Elephas maximus indicus: one gene and its partners. The protein of the gene in region 3 interacts with the protein of the main gene of each other region in a biochemical or structural test. Links are inferred from orthologs where the notes say so. Each region holds a gene or a part of one and is shown on either strand. Other genes may lie near its edges.

Region 1 (6,872 bases), on a different chromosome or scaffold from region 3:
ATACAGGCATTTATGAACAGAGGCCAGTCTGACCCGAGAGTCCCCTGTGTTGACCACCTCACAGGGCTTCCCAAGCAGCATGTCCCTGGCAGGCACTGATCCCCTCAGCCAGGTCTGGGGCGACCAGAGACTTGGCTGGGATCCTTGGGTCCGGAGCACCCCACCCAGGAACTCTAAATGCTTTCAAGTAAAGCTGGCACCCTAAGGGTGCCATGATATGGGGAAGGTCGGGAGCCACTGCTGACTATACCGTACTGCCTAATTTACACAGAAATCTGTTTGCTTTCTGTTTTTTAAGTTAACTTTACGGAAGGAAGAATTTACATACAATTTAATGCATACATATTAAGTGTATGGTTCCATGAGTTTTAACAAGTTACTTAAAAAGAAAAAAAAAAAAAAACCAGCTGCTGTATAGTTGATTCTGACTCATAGTGATCCTGTGTGTGTCAGACTAGAACTGTGCCGCATCGGTTTTCAACAGTTTTTCTCTTGAGGAGCCTCTGGGTATTCTTGAACCTTCAACCTTTCAGTTAGCAGCCGAGTGGGTTAAAAGTTTGCACCACCCATGGACGCCATGTGCCCCTTTACAGTCACTCCTTTCCCCATTCCCTGTACCAAGAAGGAGCCCTGGTGGCACAGTGGTTAAGAGCTCAGCTGCTAACCAAAAGGTTGGCAGTTTTGAATCTACCAGCCGCTCCTTGGAAACCCAATGGAGCAGTTCTATCCTGTCTTCTAGGGTCACTGTGAGTCGGAATTGACCCCACAGCAAGCGAGTTTAGTTTTTGGGGTTTTGTACCAAGTAACTACTGATCAGATTTGTATCACCACTGATTGTTTTTGCCTGTTTTAGAACTTCAGGTAAATTGAATCATATCGTATTACACTTTTGTGAACAGCTTCTTTCAGCATATTTTTAAAATTCATTCATGTTGTTGTGTGTATTAAACATTAACAAAAGTATACATCAGTATATTCACAGAGTTGTACAATTATCATCATTAGTTTTATCCTATTTTCATCACCCCCAAAAGAAGCCGCATATACCTTAGCAATCACTCCCCACTCCCCCTCCCGCCAGCCCCTGGGAACCACTAATCTTCTTTCTGCCTATGTAGGACATTTCATATTAATGGATCATATAATATGTGGCCTTCACTTAGCATAATGTTTACAATTTTCTTGGGTATTTACCCAGGAATGGACTTGCTGGGTCATATGGTAACTATGTTTAATACTTGGAGGAATTGCCAAACTGTTTTTCAACTTGGCTGTATCATTTGATGATTTGTTCATTTTTATTGCTGGGTAATATTCTACTGGAGTCCCTGGGTGGCGCAAACAGTTAAGCGTTCGACTACTAGTCAAAAGGGTGGCAGTTAGAACTGACCCAGAGGTGCCTCGGGCCTGGCAGCCTGCTTCTGGAAGGTCACAGCCTTGAAAACCCTGTGGAGCAGTTCAACTCTGCATACATGAGGTCACCACGATTAGGATTCAACTGGAAGGCAATTAACAACAATATTCTGCTGTTAGAATATGATGCAAATTCACCAAAATTAAAATTTTCTGCTCTTCAAAAGGCACCATTATTAAGAAAATGAAAAGACAAGACACATTCTGAGAGAAAATATTTGCAATAGAGAAGTCTGATAAAGAACTTGTATCCAAAATATATAAAGAACTCTTACAATTCAATAAGACAAATAATGGGATTTAAAAAAAAATTGCCAAAAGACTTGGACACTTAACACAAGAAGATATACAAACGGCCAATAAGCACATGAAAAGATTGTCAAGGTTACTAACCATCAGAGAAATGCAAATTAAACCACAACATACCACTTTGCACCTATTAGAATGGCTAACTCATGTTAAGAAGACTGACATGATCAAGTCTGGGAGATCCCCAGAAACTCCAACTATCCCACGTTGATTTTGGAAATGTAAAATAGAACAACCATTTTGGAAAACAGTTTGGCAGCTCCTCATAAAGTTAAACATAAATTTATTACATGAGCTGGCAACTCCACTCCCAAGGGAAATGAAAACATATATCCACACAAAGACATGTACAGGAATGGTCATAGGACCTTTATTCATAACAGAAACTAGAAACAACCTAAATGTCCATCAAAAGGATAAAGAAATCTGACTTCTTATGGATACTGAAATATCTTGTCTTTTAGGACATGAGGATTTTCCTGTTTGGTCCTAGGTTGTAAGTTCCGGGAGAGCAGGTTCGGCGGCTGTCTTGCTCACTACTGTCCGTCCGCTCAGTGTCTGGCAGTGAGCAGGTGCGCAATAATGTTTGGTGACTGGGTGAAAGCATGGATCAGTGAATGCAAGCATGCATACCTTAATTAATTTGTAGCCACCATCGCTCGGGTCTTTTACTCCTTCTATCTACAAACACTGGCTGGGCCAGGCCCGAGGTAGTTCGTTGCCGGCCCGGGACGGGAGGCAGCGGACGCCCGTGGCGGACGCGCGTCCTGCCAGGGTTCCAGCCAGTGCAGGCGGGATGGTAAGGACCGAAGGGCCGGCGCCCGAGCGGAGGAATGCGCACCGCCCCGAGCGCCCACAGGGCGGCGGCCGGCCCGGCTCGGACCGACGGCGCGGGACAGACGAACAGACCGGCGGACAGTAGCCAGCTGGACGCACCCACCTGGCCGCGCGGCCCCCAGGGCAGAATGAGCCCCCGGGCAAAGGCTGCTCGCGGGCCTGCGGGCGGGCCGAGGGCGGCGGGGGCGGGACGGGACCGACGAGAATCCCGCGGAGGTGAGGCCGGGGGCCGTCCCGCCCCCGAGGGCAGGCCCTGAGTCCCGGCCCCGCCCCGGGCCGCTGGGGTGTGGGCTACGCCGCCCGCTGCGCTCGGCTCCCTCCGCTCGGAACCCGCGCCGGCGCCGGCCGGGGCTGCCAGGGTGAGGCTGGAGAGGGGCGCCGCGGGGGCCTGGGGCCCGGAAATCGGACGGGGACGGGATGGGCTTGGACTGCCGGGCCTCCTGACGCAGCCGCACTCGGATTTCGGGGTTTCTCTCCCGAATCGGGAGCGCGTAACTTCCTCCTTCCCGCCTGGATCTATCTGGTCTCCCACCCTACTTGACACCCAGGGTCCTTCCTGCCCCGGCTTCTGCTCTGTCCCAGTTCGGGGCCACCCGGGCCTGGCCCAGTGCCCATTGGCTCTCTAGTTACGGGGCGGGGGGCGGGGCTGAGGGATTCAGGATGCAGAACTGAGGTAGGGGGATGGATGGTCAAGGGGGTTCGTCAGGTTCGTTGCAGACCGATCCGGCCGTAATCAGAGAGAGGCTGGGGCTCAGCGGGAGCCAGGTGAGTGGGGAAGAGGAAGACCTGTGGGAGATGGTGGTCCGTAGGGGCTGGCATAGGGGGCAGGGTTCTTCCAGGCAGGCCACCTGCCTGAGGCCTCCCCATGTTCCTAGGATGATGGCCACCCCAGAGAGCCTGTTCTCCACTGGGGGCGACCTGGACCCAAGCCAGCTACAGATGGAGCCCGATGAAGTGGACACCCTGAGGGAGGGAGAGGACCCAGGTACACAGAGAGGACAGCCCTCAAGGAGTGGGGGACAAGGGGACTGGGGCCTCCTGGATGGACACTCTCATTTTGTTTCCACCCAGCTGACCGGATGCACCCCTTTCTGGCCATCTATGACCTTCGGCCTCTGAAAATGCACCCTTTGGTGTTCGCCCCTGGAGTCCCTGTCACAGCCCAGGTGGTGGGCACTGAAAGATACACCAGTGGATCCAAGGTGGCCAGGCTGGCACCAGGAGGCGGGTGAAGGGAGGACTGGCAGAGTGGAAGACTGGGATCCAACTTCAGTTCTTTGCAGGTGGGAACCTGCACCCTGTATTCTGTCCGCTTGACTCATGGCGACTTTACCTGGACAACAAAGAAGAAGTTCCGCCATTTCCAGGAGCTGCACCGGGACCTCCTGAGACACAAAGTTCTGATGAGTCTGCTCCCTCTGGCGCGGTGAGAAGGAGCAAAGTGCTTACTGTGCAAGGCAGGCGCCTTTCACCCCATAGAAGCACGAACTCCCCATCCTCATGATTTCTTCAAGCCTCTCTCACCCCAGCCACAACCTTTCCTCCTCCCAACTCTGGCCGCCAGGCACCCCTCCTCACCCTGGTTGCCAGAAAACCTTCCATGCTCCGCTCTCCCTGCCCATGGTTTTGTGCCAATACCTCGGCCGGGCTCAATGCCCAAAATGCCCTTGGCAGTCTCCTGCATTCTCTTGTCTCCATTCCCAGGGTAGGGGGGCTCCCTCCTGCCAGTCTCTAGGCTTCCTGCCCTCCCCCAACACTCCACCCAGTGCTCCAGAGGCCCAGGCACCCAGGCCTTAGCTCTTACCTGACCCTCACCCCATCCCTTCCACAGCTTTGCTGTTGCCTATGCTCCAGCCGGAGAGGCCACCAACAGAGAGATTCCCTCTCTGCCCCGAGCGGTTCCTGAGGGCTCCGCCAGACACGCAGCCAGCAAACAGGTGAGATCAGACACCAGGTCTTCTAGGAAGGGGTTTGGTGTGCAAATGGCTCTGGTCCCATCTGTTTCTCTCTCTTCCCTCCATCCCCGCTTCAGAAGTACCTAGAGAATTATCTCAACCGCCTCTTGGCCATGTCTTTCTACCGCAACTATCACGCCATGGTAAGGCCCTGGGACTGGATGCCTGGGTCCATTTGAGCTAGGAAGGATCATCAGACTACCAAGGGAGCTAAGGACCAGGGTTGGTAGGGTCTGAGGGACTGAGAGCCAGGGTCTCTCCTCTGAGCCTTTGCCTTCTTTTGCAGACAGAGTTCCTGGAAGTCAGTCAGCTGTCCTTTATCACAGACCTTGGCTCCAAAGGACTGTGAGTGTCTAACACCCCTCACCCAGCCATCTGCAAACATTTCAGGATCTCTCCCTGCCCTGAGAATAGGGAATGCAGTGCAGAATGGGTTGGGAGGTTTGAGTTCCTCATCTAGTATCTCTTCTTGATTTTCCCTACAGGGAGGGGGTGATCCGCAAGCGCTCAGGGGGCCACCGGGTTCCTGGCCTCACCTGCTGTGTCCGAGACCAAGTTTGTTATCGCTGGTCCAAGAGGTGAGGGCTGGGCTGCACGGCTGGGCACTGGGTGGGGGTGAGGAAGGAGATCCGAGGGCAGGGAGGAACGGATGGAGCCCTTCCGCTCCAGGTGGCTGGTGGTGAAGGACTCCTTCCTGCTGTACATGTGCCTCGAGACCGGCGTCATCTCATTTGTCCAGCTCTTCGACCCTGGCTTCGAGGTGCAAGTGGGGAAAAGGAGCACAGAGACACGGTATGGGGTCCGCATTGACACCTCCCACAGGTAAGGCCGCTTGGGGAGTGGAGAGCCAGGCCTAGAGCCCTGAGGGTTGTTGAGTGGGAGAGACCATGGAAGAGAAGAAAGTTTCTACCAGGGAGCTCGGCCAGCCAGATGCTTGGGACTGTTCTTAAAGTCCAGGCTCAGAGAAAAGGGTTTGAATGTAAGCCTGGGAGAGGGGCTGATAAAGACAAAAAGGAACTCCATTCATTCACTGAACCTAAGTGTCTGGCATCATACTAGGTGCTGGATACGCAACGGCAGGTATGTGCCCTGTCCCTATGGAGTTGTGAGTCAGGGACTAAGACAGGAAGTGGGAAAGAAGTGCTAGTCAAAGGGGGGAGGTCTCAGGGCAAGGCCAGAGGCATGGAGGTGGAGGGTTAGTGCTCCATTTCATTGCTCCTGTCCAGGTCCCTGATTCTCAAGTGCAGCAGCTACCGGCAGGCACGGTGGTGGGGCCAGGAGATCACCGAGCTGGCTCAGGGCCCAGGCAGAGACTTCCTACAGCTGCACCAGCATGACAGCTATGCTCCGCCCCGGCCTGGGTCCCTGGCCCGGTGGTGAGACACTGACATCCCTTCTGAGCATGTCTTGACCCCCGCGGTGTTTTTTGACTCCTTTACCCTCTCTTTTATCTCCTATGACCCTTCCGATCTCATTGACCCCCTTTGACTTCTGTCATCTCCCTGACCTTTTTAAGCTTGCTGATCGCTCTGATCTGATCTTTCGGATCTTAACCCCTTTGACCTCCAAACTCCTCTGACCCCTGACCTCTCTGATCTCCTGTGACCTTAATCCCCTTCCCGTACATCAGCTCCCTTTGTTCTCTCTGCACTCCTCAAGTCTCTCTGATGTATTCATTCATTTAGTAAACATTTTCTAAGCACCTACTGTGTGCCAGGTCTAATGCTGGGAATGACACAGGATTCTCTGGTTTCCCCTCCAGTTAGTTGAGTGGGTGATTCCGTCATGAAACAGTGTGAACTTGCCACACTAGCGATAGATGCAGAGTGAAGAGCCCAGAGGAGGAGCGTCTGGCCCAGCGTGGGGATGTCAGGACAGGCTTCCAGAAGGCAGGAACACCAAGGTTAGCCTTAGCAAGACAAAGAAAATGGAGACAGCTGTCCGAGCAGAGAAGACAGGAATAGCCTGACGTGTCTGGGAACCAGCAGGATTGCTTGTTGTTGGAGCGTGAGGAGGCGTGGTCAGAGAAGAGTCCAGGGGAATCCGCAGCGTGTGATCATGCAGGGCCCCATGTGCTAGGCGCTAGGCTAAGGAGGTTGAACGTTATCACAGGCCAGAGGGGAGTCATGGAAGGAATTTTGTGTTGGAGGTAGTTTTGAGAATTTTTTTTTACAAAAGAACTAGTAATAGCTAATGCTTACGTAGCACTTAACTATGTGCCAGCAACTGTTCTAAGTGTTTTACGTGTGTTAACTCGTTAAGTGCTCACGATAACCCTATGAGGCAGGTACAGTTGTTTTCTCCATTTTACAGATGAGGAAAATTGAGGCAAACAGGTTTAGAATCTTGCCTAAGGTC
Region 2 (6,872 bases), on a different chromosome or scaffold from region 3:
AAAGGCAGCGAACTGAAAGACAGTGCCGGGGAAATACTGCTGTGGCTGAAAGACCTTCCCTGGAAGATCCTGTGTGGTCTAAGGTGGATCAAATGGATTCTTCTACCCTGCAGCTTGGCTCCTCTTACGGCACAGCACAAAACCTGGGGTGGATTCCAGACAAAGGTACAATGACGGGGAAACCGAAGCAGTCCAGTATTTGAGCTCTAAGGGAATGCTCTTACCTCTTTCACCCTGGGAGCCATCGGGGCCTTAGATAACAAGCAAGATAGGTCATTATGGACCAGCTAATTGCATTTTATTAAAATTCATCACAATATTTGAAAGTTGCCATGGTCTTAAATAACGAGATTGGACCCCCAACTGAAACGTTAGAAGCCCTGGGCTCTAGCCCCGCCATTGCCCCTAGCAGAAATCAGGCATCTCCGAGCCTCAGTTTTCCTGCTAAAGACTTGGTTGACCTTTAAGGCTGCAGACCTCCAGCTGTAACACTTTGGACCTTTGCCAAATCTTAGTCATGCTCATTCACTAAAAAGAATGCTGGGTCCTGTGACCGTCTCGTGAATTGTCACTGAGTGTTTTATCGCCCTCGCTTTTGGTAAATCACTTGGCTATGTGAGCTGCAGCCTTTTTCTTGAGTCTGTGAGTTCTTTGAGGATAGAAACCTAACTTGTCACCGCCCAGCATGACAGTGAGTGCTCAGTAAACATTGGATGAGTAAATGAACAAAGAAAATGAATAAATGAAAATTTACAAAAAATATTGCCAGGTAATATTGAGATGTTATTTAGTGTGAGGCACTGGTAGTTCAGTGGTAGAAATCTCATCTTCCACGCAGGAGACACGGGTTCAGTTCCCAGCCAGTACACTTCACGTACAGCCATCTCTCAGTGGAGGCATCTGCATTGCTATCTATAATGCTGGACAGGTTTCAGTGGCGGTTACAGACTAAAAGAGACTAGGAAGAAAGGCCTGGCAACCTACCTCTGAAAATCTGCCAGTGGATTCTTTATGGATCACAGCGTTCTGATCTGTATCCGATCTTGGGGTGGTGCACAACCAGACAGCGTTCTAATCTATTGTGCATGGGGTTGCTGTGCGTTGGGGGTCAATTCTGCAGCAGCTAACAACAGCAACGTCAAGTTCAGTAATACTCACAAATGTGTTCCTCCCTTCGTTGTCAAGAAGACAAAAGGGCATTGTAGGCAGGAATGGGCACGGGGAGTGTAACCCCACGACCCTAGCTTCAGGTTCCATTGCTGAGCAGGGCAGCTTTGGGGGAAGTGCTCACACTCTCTGAGCCTCTGCATCCTGCTGACCCACTGGGCTCTAGAAATGCTCTTGTGGGTAACTACCTCTGGGCTCCCTGTTAGCGCTAATGTGTAACTTGGTTGAAGGTGGGGGGTAGTTCTTGTACCTCATCAAGGAAGGCTTCTTTATTGAAATTCAGAAAGTAAAGTGACCTCTCCTGTGTCTCCACCCATAACTGAGGACATTTTGGAGGGACTCTTGCAACCCTGTGGTGGTAGAAATTATGTTGTCAGAGTAGAGACCACTGAGGGTAGCCAAAACATGTTTCAGAGTATCTGTTTAAAAATAAGCCACAGTCACCAAGCAGTCTTTCTGAGGTATCTAATTAAAGAACCAAAAAAAAAAAAAAAAAAAATTGCCATGAAGTCGATTCCGACTTACAGTGACCCTATAGGACAGAGTAGAACTGCCCCATACGGTTTCCAAGGAGTGCCTAGTGGATTCAAACTGCTGACCTTCTGGTTAGCAGCTATAGCTCTTAAACACTACACTACCAGGATTTCCTGTATGTAATTAGACCTGAATATTTAACTCTGAGATAAAATCTAGATTCCCTAGGCTATAATCTCTTTCATAGGAAATCTTATCTGATCCATCTTTATATCCCTTTCCCTGCCATGAACACAGTGAACAAAAAAAACCCAAACCCATTGCCATCAAGTCGATTTTGGCTCATAGCGATGCTGTAGGCCAGGGTAGAACTGCCCCATTGGGTTTCCATGGAACAACTGGTGGATTTGAACTGCCGACCTTTTGGTTAGCAGCCAAATGCTTAACCACTACCTCACCAGGGCTCCGTAGGTGTTCTATAACTATTTGTTGAAAGATGAAAGAAGAGAAAATCAGTCCTTGACAGTCTGGCTTGCGAACAGCGCATCCTGAGCGACGCTTGGCCTGGTTTCACCTTGCCATCAGGACCATCCCTAGAAACAGCTTCTTGACACAGTTGTCGGCGTTCCCAGGCTTAGAGAAGGACATATAAGTGTCTGGTTTGATTAACAGACGTGGTGTTCATGACATTTTTCTCTAGGAAACGTTTATACACACTCACAAACAATAAAGCCATGTTCAGGACATCATGTGGGGCTGATGTCGATCGACTGTATACACACATTGTGCTGTATCAGATAATATCCAGAACCAGCAGGTGTTAGAGTGAAGAGAGTGGGAACATTTGCTGGAGAAGCTGGACTTTAAATATTCATGGCCACTAGTTCGTGCTTACACAGAATGCCTGGCACAGACTGTATTAACTAACTTAGTCCTCACACGGAGTTCTGTGTTTAGGCACCATTTTCATCCCCATTTTACAGGCGAAAAAACTGAGGTGTCTAGAGATTTAAGTAACTTACCTATAGCCACTGCCTAGTACGTGGACACAGTTCCTGGGGCGGGGGTGGGGGGTGCAAAAGGTTAACATGCTCAGCTGCTAATGAAAAGGTTGAAAGTTTAAGTCCAACCAGAGGCACCACGGAAGAAAGGCCTGGCGGCCTACTGAAACATCACAGCCATTGAAAACTCTACGAAGCACAGTTCTACTCTGATGCACCCCAGGTCGCCATGAGTTGGAGTCCTAGGCAGCTGGCATTCTGCCTGTTGTGCAGGTCATTTGTTGGAGTTGTTGAGTTCCGACCTGCAGGGCTAGGAGAGAGGGGCCTCGTGTAAAACCGCAGCAGGTGACGGATGCCCTTCTGTTTGGTTTTGCAAGCCAAACGCGGGAGTTTTTGCGTTATTTGGGGCGGGGCGCCAAGCCAGGGGCTCCGGTCCGCGCGGCGCTGATCCACGCCGGCGCTTCGGTGCGCCTGCCGGCCGCGCTCGCCGCCGCTCCGCGCTCCCGGGATCTGCCGGCCGGCTGGGCGCGCGGCCCGGGCGCAGGACGTCGGCCCCGCCGCCCCGCCCCGGCGCGCATTTCCATTTTAAACCGCCGCCCGCCGCCCGCCGCCCGCCGCCCGCCCGCGGCCGCCGCACCGCTCGCGCGCCCGGTCCGGGGAGTGGCGAGGCTGCGGAGCCGCCGGACTGTGAGCGGAGGCCCGGCGATGCGCCCGGGCCCGCGCCGCGAACAATGAGACCGCGGGCGCCGCCGCCCGTCTGGGTCCCTCCGCGCCGCGGCCGCACCTGCGGACGAGAGCGGCCCCACGCCTGAGAGCCCGGCCCGCGGCCCATGGCTCGGGGCCCCGGACTCCGGTACTCTGGCCGCGCGGCGGCGGGCGCTCAGGGGCCGGCTGGCGCCAGGTGTGCCGTCCCCGCGCGCTGAGCGTGGCCTGGGCTGCAAGCAGGGGGCGTGCGTCCACTCCCGGGCCGGGTTCCTGCGCCCCGCCCGGCCACGGACCCGACCCCACGCGCACGGCTCCCGGGCGCGCTGGATGCGGCCGCCCCGCGCCGGCCGGGGCCCCAGGCGACATGTACCTGCTGGACGGCAGCGGCGAGCCTGCGTCGCCGCCCGCGGACGCGATGCCGCGCGGGACGCCCCCCAGGAAGACCGTCTACCGCATCTCCGTGACCATGGTCCGCAAGGATCAGCTGGCGGGCCCCGACCCGGGCCCAGCCCGGCGTCCCCGTCCAGCGCGCTCCCCGGACGCGCCCGGGCGGCTCGTGGAGGAGGCAGAGGAGGCGGCGGGTGGCGAGGACGCCGAGAGTGGCCGGCCCCACGCCTGGCACGCCCGCACCTTCCGCACTCGTAGCACCGGGCAGCTGGAGCTCGGGCGGCTCCGAGTATGCGCCCGTGGTCTCGAGCCCGCGGAGGGCCGCGCCATCAGCCCCCCGGCCGTGGAGCCCGGGGCGGAGGCGCCCAGCAGCCTCGACGGGGAGGTGCCGCGAGCCGCGCCCCTGCGGCGGAGCCTCAGCTTCCGACACCGGAGCGGCCCGGACCCTACGCGGGGCCAGGCGCCTGGCCGCGGGCGGCGCCACAGTAGCTCGGGTAGCCTGGGCCGCACGCCGGGTGCCGAGGCCGGGCCTGGTACCGCCGCGCCGCCCGCCCCTGAGAAGCGCAACACCCTGGACGTGGGCGAGGTGCTGAGCAAGGGCGCCGCGCTCTCGGAGCTGGAGCGCTGGGAGCGCAGCAAGAGCAAGCACCGCACTCTGGACAACAGCGACCTGCAGCGGCTGGAGCGTGCGCGCGCGGCCGCTGGCTCCGGAGCGGCCCCCGAGCGCCGGCTGCTGCGCTTCTTCAGCGGCATCTTCGCGCGCAGAGATGGCGTGCCCGCCGGCGGCCCGGGCGGCGGGCGGTCCCCGCGCAGCGGCCCCTCGCGGCCCCGCGGCTACTTCAGCAGCCTGCGGCGCGCCCCGGCTGATACGCACTCGTCCAGCGCCGAGAGCATCGACGGCTCTCCGCGCAGAGGTGGGCAGGGCTGGTGGGCCTGGTCCGGCTTCGCGGGGGCCTGCTAGACAGAGCACGGTGCGACCTGAGCTCCGCTAAGCCACCTGCTCTCCTCAGGTTGCAAAGCCAGCAGGTGGTTGCGCTGCACGTGAACTTGGGTGCTGTGGTTCTCCTCAGCAGTGCTGCAGCGGCTTGGAAGTTCTGGGCTGCCCCTTCCCCTTACCTGGGTGTGGTGTTGCCTTTTGGGGTTGTGTCGCCTCACCGACGGAGAGCTAGCTCGACTGGGGAGAGTACCTTGCCAAAAGGTGCTTTTTTTCCGCAGGTGCTGGCGCAGCCTTCCAATAGAAGGCCTGTGACCTCTCTAGGGGAGCCAGGCTGTGGTACCTGTGGGGCTGCCGCAGGGAGCTCCGCACAGGTGGTGCTGCGCGACCAGAATTCGATTTTCTTTTCTGGTGAGGCTAGCATTCATTTTAGCTGTTTTTTTCCACCTCCCCCCAGCCTCGTCTTGTTCCCCCAAATCTAGTCTCGTTGTCGTTAGTTGCCAGCGGACACTATTCAGACTCATGGCAGCCGCGTATGCGGGGTAGAACTGCTCCATAGGGTTTTCACGGCTGTGACCATTTGAAAGCAGATTGCCAGACCTTTTTTCCGAGGAGCCACCAGGTGGGTTCAAACTGCTAGCCTTTTGGCCAGCAGTCCAGTGCTTAACCCTTGTGACACTCAGGGATTCCTAGTCTCCTTCTAGGCACTGCCATCTGTGTGCTAGGCTGTGATCTCAGCAGATCCACTCTGACACCTATTGGCTTCCTGGTAAAGACAGTTCCCTCCAGTAGTCAGGACGGGTAGGGCATGTAGATCCACCTCCCCCACAAAGGAGTATCTGCATACAAGAAAAGCTAGTCTGGGTAGGGTTTGGCTTCCTGCAAAGGGCACCAGTGAACGGACATGAAAAGCAAAGCAGACGTCTGTTCTTGCATCTCCGTTCTCTGGCACCTTCTGACAGGGACCTTGCAGGAGGGCTCTGGGGGCAGGTGTGATAACATGCTTCTGCAGGATTCATTTCACCTGCTGGTAGCAGCTGGGGCTCAGAATTCTCCAGAAACTGCAAAACACAAAACCCATCTCACCACATACCTGGGCACCATCCTGGTGGCAGAGGTTGGGAGTGGAGAGGGGGATGTGGATTGTTAACCCCACCCCTCAGGTGTAGGGGAGGGAAGCCGCAGACTTGTCACCCGGCATCTCACTGAGGGCAGGTTATTAGTAACACCTCTCATGCGAATTAAACTGCCGATGCTGCTTTGAGATGAAGGGAAGTTGAGTGAGGGCTTTCGGTTAGACAGAGGCCTCCACTGGCCAGCTAACTACCTCTGGAGAGTATTCCTGCCGGGTCTCCCGGGTTAGCCGACAGCCCTGGTGTGTATCCAGGTATCGGCAACAACCAAATGCAGAGAAATCACTGCCCTTGCTGAAGCATTTTCCAGGTAAAACTGAAGACCCCGTGTCTTAATGTACTTATATTGACCCTCAGAGTGTTATGTTTGAGATCAAGTGGTTGAATGTCTAGTAGTAATAAAGCCTAAATTCATTTTTAATAGCAAGGATATAATATGAAGTATCACGTTACCAGGTTTGTAGTAGTTTGACCTGCTGTACATAGAAATGGGCTAGACTGTAATACTTTAAAGTATGCATCCCTTCCCAGTACGTTAGCATAAAGCGTCTTTCCCTTCCAGCATGCTCTTGGCGATACTAGAAAAAGGTAGGAGTTACTTTGGTTTGCATAAAGTTGCTACTGCCATCGGATGTGCTCAGAGGAGGCTCAAACCCACAGCTCCCGCTTCTGCCTATAATAGCAGGCTTGCATCTTTGCTGTCACGGACTTCGTAGAAAATAGTAATTAACTGCCTGGGTTCTAGACAGCACCCCTGGAACAGAGCGTACAACGAGCACACAGGTGCGTATTTAGAACACAAGCGCTCCATTGTGGTGTCTGTTGATACAGGTTAAAAGCATTTGAGGTTTGGGCTTTTCTCCTCTGGCCAAATGAATTGATAGCAGATTGGAAATAGTACAGGTGTCTTGGCGTTTGCTCCTTTAGTACACTCTAAGGTGGTAATAACATGCCGTAGCGATAACTGTAATGTGCTCAGCCTGTCTGTCCCCTGTGGCCAGTCTGGCTCAGAGCAGCATTACTTGGTCTAAGACATAACGCTCACGTTGTGGTTTATGTAGAGAAATGGGG
Region 3 (6,872 bases):
ATCAAATACTACGACTTGAAGCCCTTTAGAAATGAATCCTTCTAATCTGCTAGCATTTCTTTTAGGAGTAAAAGTTGTTTCCAAAATACACACTCCTACATCCTTAAGATGTGCACAGATCATAATCAAATCTCTAAGTAACTTAAACCACACAGCAACAGCACCCTTCAGGCCTCGGAGATGTATAAAAAAGTCTGCCTCCTAAACTGAATAGCTCCCAATGCTATGTTTTTGAAATTTGCCTGGCTTTATGTTTTTTCCTGTCTCCTCCCTCGCTGTCACTTAAACCATGCCCCTTGCTATTGTCAGGGACTGGAAGGAACTCCTTCTTCCCTTTCTAGTCACTGATGACAGATTGTTAAGCTCCAGTTACCACTGTATGTAAAACCAGGAAACGGGATAGTATGGAGGTTGGGTTCCTCAATCAGCCAGCCTCCACCATTCTTTCCAGTTTCTACAGGGCAGCTGCTGTGACAAGACTCTGTGGGTGAGGGCCAAAGAGATTCTCCTAGAAATAAAGAGTCCTGATGTTTCTGTGTTAAATCTTGCCATTTTTTTCCAGCTAATCAGGCCATTTGACCCACCTGAGAATGCGAAACTACCTTCCTGAATAGCTGTAAAAGATGAGGTGCAACTATATTTCACAGAGCTTATGACAATCACAAGAGGGTACAAGCCTAAGGATGAAAAAATGATCTTAAGTGTTATCCAGGTGACCTGGAATTTCTATCTCCTCCTTTCTCTCCCACCACCCTTTACTTCCCCATACGTAGGGTCAGACCCAACTCACAATTAGGTCAAAATCTTTTCCAAAAGCCTACTTCAGAGGATGCTAAGAGGACATCTTTAACAACCACCTATGCCAGTAAAATGGCTGGCAGTTCAAATCCGCCAGGTGCTCCTTGGAAACTCCATGGGGCAGTTCTACTCTGTCCTATAGGGTCGCTATGAGTCTGAATCGACTCGACGGCGCTGGGTTTTTTTTTTTTTATGCCGGTTAAGGAGCCATACAGCACAAAAAAGGTACTTCTCATTTAATGTCAAACTCCCAACTGAAAGAAATGTCTGTTTCTCTCCCAACTACCTCTAACAGATCTGCATTTTTATTTCCCTTCACTTCTACTAATACCATTATGAAGGCTGAACGGGTCAAAGGGAGAGTCCCTATCACGGACAATGTGGACAAGGATAGTCTGTGAAAAGCATGGCAAATCCAGAATGGCTGAGGTCTGATCATCTGTAAAGTAGAACGATAACAACGCTCAGGAAGGTGTGTGCAAAAAAGTGTGAAAAGCCTGATCTGTGATTAACAGCCAATTTTAAATCCAGACATATCAAGGCAAAATTTAATTAGAAAAATCTGAAAAAACTGATTCAATGCTCTCAAGCCAAATTAATATACCATTGTAAGAACCTGCACAACAGATTTTTTTTTTCCCTTGGTTGGGTTTACTCCTATGGCCCTTTGACTCCGGAGATCACCTCAGCAGTTGATGGCCCATATTACATTTTCCTGACGTGAATAAGAAAAGCCAGACTGTACCTTTGTTGAGATTCAGGCCTGTCTGGTTTTGGGTACAGACAGGTCAGCAGTTGAAGAAGTCCGAATGTCCTCTTCATATTGTGCAATCAGCTAAACACCATGATTTTTAAAATCCAGAACCCTAGAGAGCACAGAACTAGTTTCTGCTTTCTACTAATTCTCTCTCACTGATGAGTGGTGGAGTGTAAGTCAAGCCAGCTATTATCCAAACCAGTGATTTTAAATCTCTCTGGAGTAGCAATTCTGAGTATCTGAGAATACCCCCACACGAGCAGCATATTTCTAATGCTGACATTATATTTTTCAACATGATATTTAGGAAGACCAGTAAAACTCTACAATGTGGCACATCCAGGACTGAGGACCTCCACTAGGAGGTTACCAGAAGATCTTAGTGCAAGCAAGATAAGAACCTCTGACCAACGTGGCCGATGGCGATGACACCACAGAGCAGTAGCACTTTGTTAACCCGTGGAGAATGTCAAGGCAGAAGACCACAGGATCAGTACACCATGCAGTGACCTTATACTCCCTCAGACACACTGCTGGAAACACCAGGACCAGTCGTGCACACAGCAAGTAGGAAAAAGTGCTGACACTAGTTCTGAAAGGAGAACTGGGACTGACAACTCCAACACCAGTGGTGACATCAACTGTGCAGCTCTTAACAGAAACTTCTGGGACCACCCAAAAGCTTTTGAAATTTCCTCGTTTTCTGCCAGCCATTTCTTGTGCAATTCTGCTCAAGTCATTTAAAACAGCAGTTTGCTTTTCCTTTCGATGAAATGGGGAGTGTGCCACCAGGCTCCGAGGTACTGTCTCAAATAATTACTTAATGTTTTAAGTACTGTATAATTGTTAAGCCTTATTAACAAAACTACCATTTTCCATGCCGTAACAACCCGGATTGTGCAACAGGAAAGCATGAGGTCAGCTCTGCTAAAGAGACTGCCTAGACTTTAGGAGCAAATTGTTTTACAGGTAGGTTAAAGATTCGCCAGCTGCGAAAGAGGTATTCTTATCTACTCCCCAAGACATTCAAGGAAAAAGTCCTAAGGTTAAAAAAGCAAGGATAATTCAGTCCTCTAAAGGCCACAGGAGCCTCGACTGCCGATTTACTCAGAAGGCAGCTCCCTGAGCTTGGCATCCTTTAAAGTCTTCGCATCTCCTAGGCTACGCCGGGTTTGTCTTAGAGGTCTACAGATCTCACTCACGTGAAAGCCGAACCTCCATTCGGCAACAGAGGCAAAGCCCAGGGCCCCTGCCCTCAGGCAGCTCCCAGCCGCTCCTCCCCTCCCCCAGCACCCGCCAGGCGAACTCCGACTCCCAGCTTCTGAGCAAACAGGAACTGGAGGCAGGAGGCCTAGGTTCAAACCCTAGCGATCTGTGACCTTCACCGAGTCACGGAGCCGATCCAAGACTCAGTTTCCTGATCCCTCATAAACCTCGAGGCTTATAAAATTTCCTCTCCAGAGGTCGGCACCCGGAGGCGCCTGGAAGGGGCCGGCTAGACGTTCATCCGTCCTTGGGAGACCACCGCGCCCCGAGCCCTAAGCGCCCCGCTTCCTCCTCCACCCTGCCAGGGCAAAATGACTCAAACGCGCCGGCTCCAACTTCCTTTCCCTGCGCCGGTCACCGGCGAGCGAGTCCCGCTCGAACAAGCAGTTCCCGAGCAGAGGAGGAAGCAAACCTCTCGGCTTCGAAGGCGGGGAGGGCTCCAGAGAAGGAGCAGGAAACGAAGGCTTTTTAAAGGAAAAGCCCGACCTCCCGGCGAGGCCAGGACCGAAGCCCGCGCCTCCGGATCTCGGGACCGGCGAGGGGGAGGCGGCGAGGGTGCCGGGCGAGAACGCGCGGGAGCGTTCGGGGTAGCAGAGGCCAACAAGGGGGACACGGGAGGCGCCGACCAAGCCCTCCGCGCCCCGACCGCTCGGCCCAGCCCCAAACCGCCCGGCCCTACGGCCTCGCCTGCCTCCGGTCCCGCCGCCGCCGAAGGGGCGAGACACGCGCGAACCCCAGGGCTAGCCCCGCCGCCTGCCCGCACCGTGCCCCCCGCCGTCTCACCCCTCGGCGGCCGGGCGGCTGCTGCTGCTGCTACTGCTGCTCCGAGCCAGGCGTTGGTTTCGCTCCCACAAGATGGCGGCTCTGACGGCGGCCACGTCAGTGCCTGCTGCCGCGGGAGACGCCGGGTAACTGGGGCAGGGACATCGCAGGCCACGCCCACACCGCTCCGGGTGCGCATGCGCGGGCCGCGCGCGGAGGCGGAGCCGGCGGGCGAGCAGCGAGGGAACGGCGCCCCGCCCCTGGCCGGTCCCGGTCTTACGGGTCCAGGTGCCTTAGCGGTCCACGCGATCGGACGGGCAGTGGGCGCGCTGGGCGCCGGGCCAGCTGCGCCTCTCACCGACGTGGAACCGGGGCCTGGAGCGGTGGGACGGGGCCAGGCCCTCCTGTCCAGTCCCTCCCGTCCGGTCCATCGCCGGCAGAAGGAGCCCACCTCCCTGCGGCCCGCGCGCGGCATCGTGGGGGGCCCCGTGGCCACCACCAGGCGGCCACACACAGAAAAGGGGGTTTCCAGGGAGCTTTCAGGCCTCCGGCGTCCTCCTCCTGCAAACCGGAACGTTACTGGACGCCGTCCAAGGGCCTGGCAGAGACCAGAACAAACGCGCTTGTCCCTGGAGCTGACCTGCGGGAGCACCGTCCTATATGGAAGAAATAAATGATTTACTGAGTCCGGTAGTACGGGGTCAGCAGGGCAGGAAAGCCAGTGGCACGAGGGAGAGTGATTGCAGGGGGGTGGTTGGGTGACCTCTAATGAGGAAGGGACAGACTTGACGGTGAGGCTTGGAGGAGACATTTCCTGGGGAAGCCTCCCTGAACCGATCACTCCCCCCAGTTTCTCAGGGTGCAGGAATCTGGCTCTGGCCTCCACTGTGAGGCTCACTTTGGCCTCCAGCTGACCCCTAGGGCTACATCCTCCCATCACCCTCATGTGACTTTGAATCCCCCGCGGTGGGTGCTCCTCATTCCAGAAGCTTTAGTGGAAATGCAGGGAAGCTTTCCAGCCCAGTGCCCTAGGTGTTGTGGGTGGCCAAAAGTGGAGCCTTCACTTGGGTCCTGGCATAATCACTCCGTGGCGAGTCCAGGGGCCTGCCTGATGAGGCGGTCAGCACCAGAGCCTGCAGAGCAACTGTGGCCCGGCAGACAGCCTCCTGTCCCCAAGTGCACCCATCACCCACCTGGCAAAGGCGGTGTGGCCTGCTCGCTGGGCTGGCGTGGCCCGGGTCTCACGATGCCAATGCTGCCATCACCCCAGACAGCAATGACCCTGTGACCCACCTGTCTCCAAATACTGCTTTTCTCCTCCTTCTGAAATAATGAGAACCCAGGCCCCCATAGACAAGTCCCTGCTCCAGCCCCCAAAACATGTCATCTGTGGAAGAGCCCACGGCTCCCCTGCCTGCAAGCGCCACCCCGTTCTCTGCCTGGGACACAACTGCCATCACACTACCAGCTCAGATGTCACCTCTGTCAACTGCTGTGGGGTTGTCTGTTTAGGGGTCTCTCTCCCATTCGGACCTATAACCCATTACCACTGAGTTGGTTCCAACTTATATGACAGAGTAGAACTGCCCCGTAGGGTTTCCAAGGCACTAATCTACACGGAAGCAGACTGCCACAGCTTTCTCCCTCAGAGTGATTGGTGGGTTTGACAGGGGTTAGCAGCCCAGCACTTAATTACTGTGCCACCAGGGTTCCCCTCTACAAATACTCCTGTGAAGTGCTCCTGGGTCTGCATTCCCAGGGAGGGACATGGAGGTTCCCTAGAACTGCAGTGGTCATGGCTCTCACCCCAGGGAGCTGGCCTGTGGCTGGTGTCTCCCACAGTCATCCTAGAGATCCTAGCCACATGTGAACCTTGTGATCACAACTGCTTCAAAGCTGAGGAACCGAGGAAAGGAGCAGTGAGGAGACAGACTTAGAGGTGGCAGTACCTGAAAACTGGAGCTCACCTTCCCTTTTCTTTAAAAAGAAAAAAAAAAAAAAAGTGAAGGCTATCATACATAGGAAGGAGTGTGTGTAAGATACACACAGTTTTAAAAATAAATGAATTCCAGGTTAAGAAATGTAACTTCCTCCCAAACTCGGCCTCCTGGTTTTGCCCCCAGGGCAAGGGAGCTGTCTTCAGGTTAAAGCAGGCACACCAGGGGAATAATTCCAAGATCAGGAAGTGTCAGGCAGTTATTTAGCGAAACTAAGGCCCAGGTGCTTGCCCAAGTTGACAAGGGAGTTAGGGCTTCCGTGTCCCTCTTGTGTGGGACTCCCAGGATAGAATCTCTTCAAGGTGGGGCCTAGAGTGGGTGCCTTCTCAGCCTTGGCCAGGAGGCGGCGCAGAGCACAGGCCCTGGGGTGTCCACATTCCGCAGCCACCTTAGCTGATAACTCAACAGCTTGGGGAGATCCCAACCCAGCTTCCCTTTCTGACTAACCTGCCGGGCCCCTTGCCCCTGACAGATGCTCAGAGCAGTCAGGGCTGAACAGGACAGCATCCTGAGGAAGGTGGGCTGGAAGGATGGGCAGGACGGGCCTGAGTGAAGGGGCAGAAGTGGCCGGTTTGGCTGGAATGGAGGTGTGAGGAGGGAGCACTCATACACTCAAGGACACCAGCCCTGCCCCCAGGGGCGGGTGGATGTTAAAATTTGGCTAGTACTTTATGTGAGAAGTCAGGCAGCATACTCAAGGTCATATGGCTAGTTCTTAGCCACACTGGGACTAGAACCCCAGTCTGCCTGTGGCCAATGCCTTCAGTCTTCCGCTCACCTGCTACATTGCCTCTGGAGGGTGAAATTTTATCTTGAACCCCTCCAGGGATGGGGAGCTCACCACTGCCCAAGGTAACCCTTGTTCATGGGCATATCTGCTCTGCCCGGCCTTCCTGCAGTCCCTGTGCCCTCAACATAACTGCTGGGGGAGGCTCTTCACCAGGCCCCATCCTGGGGGAAGCTCCAAAGTTGGGACTGAAGCTGGTCCCCGGCTAAGTCAAGGCTCTCAGCTCAACACCCAGTGCTGAATTGTGGGAAGAACTTCAATGATTTTTGTGGAGCACGGCGGATCATCTGGTTCTCTATGCTCCCCCACCTCCATCTGGCCCTCTGAGGGGCCAGAGGCAACCGCTGAGACAGGGCTTCCATGCGGATAGGGATGGGATGGAGAAAGGACCCCATCCCCTTCCCTCCTCCAGGCCCACTGCAGGAATGATCATGGTCTGTTCTGACCACGGGGGTCCTCAGGAGGAGGGCCTGGACAAGCCCCCACACTCTACCCTGTGACTCCC

What was found.
Region 1: the proteins of ARF1 (region 3) and PLD2 form a complex in vitro, tested with the Homo sapiens proteins (2 studies listed by BioGRID). The link is inferred for Elephas maximus indicus from reciprocal best matches to the Homo sapiens genes ARF1 and PLD2.
Region 2: of the proteins of ARF1 (region 3) and AGAP1, one has a biochemical effect on the other in vitro, tested with the Homo sapiens proteins (2 studies listed by BioGRID, with this or other methods). The link is inferred for Elephas maximus indicus from reciprocal best matches to the Homo sapiens genes ARF1 and AGAP1.

What each region holds. Positions count from the first base shown.
Region 1 is NC_064837.1:14,473,224-14,480,095, forward strand, and holds the start of PLD2 (phospholipase D2), read left to right. Parts: upstream 1-3,354; coding exon 3,355-3,544; exon of another isoform or gene 3,545-3,630; coding exon 3,631-3,761; exon of another isoform or gene 3,762-3,842; coding exon 3,843-3,985; intron 3,986-4,363; exon of another isoform or gene 4,364-4,390; coding exon 4,391-4,496; exon of another isoform or gene 4,497-4,518; intron 4,519-4,591; coding exon 4,592-4,657; intron 4,658-4,800; coding exon 4,801-4,859; intron 4,860-4,999; coding exon 5,000-5,092; exon of another isoform or gene 5,093-5,183; coding exon 5,184-5,336; intron 5,337-5,740; coding exon 5,741-5,890; intron 5,891-6,872.
Region 2 is NC_064824.1:137,770,015-137,776,886, forward strand, and holds the start of AGAP1 (arf-GAP with GTPase, ANK repeat and PH domain-containing protein 1), read left to right. Parts: upstream 1-3,260; 5' UTR 3,261-3,711; coding exon 3,712-4,648; intron 4,649-6,872. UniProt on the Homo sapiens protein: GTPase-activating protein for ARF1 and, to a lesser extent, ARF5. Directly and specifically regulates the adapter protein 3 (AP-3)-dependent trafficking of proteins in the endosomal-lysosomal system.
Region 3 is NC_064820.1:232,617,400-232,624,271, forward strand, and holds the start of ARF1 (ADP-ribosylation factor 1), read right to left. Parts: upstream 3,711-6,872; 5' UTR 3,605-3,710; intron 1-3,604. UniProt on the Homo sapiens protein: Small GTPase involved in protein trafficking between different compartments. Modulates vesicle budding and uncoating within the Golgi complex. In its GTP-bound form, triggers the recruitment of coatomer proteins to the Golgi membrane.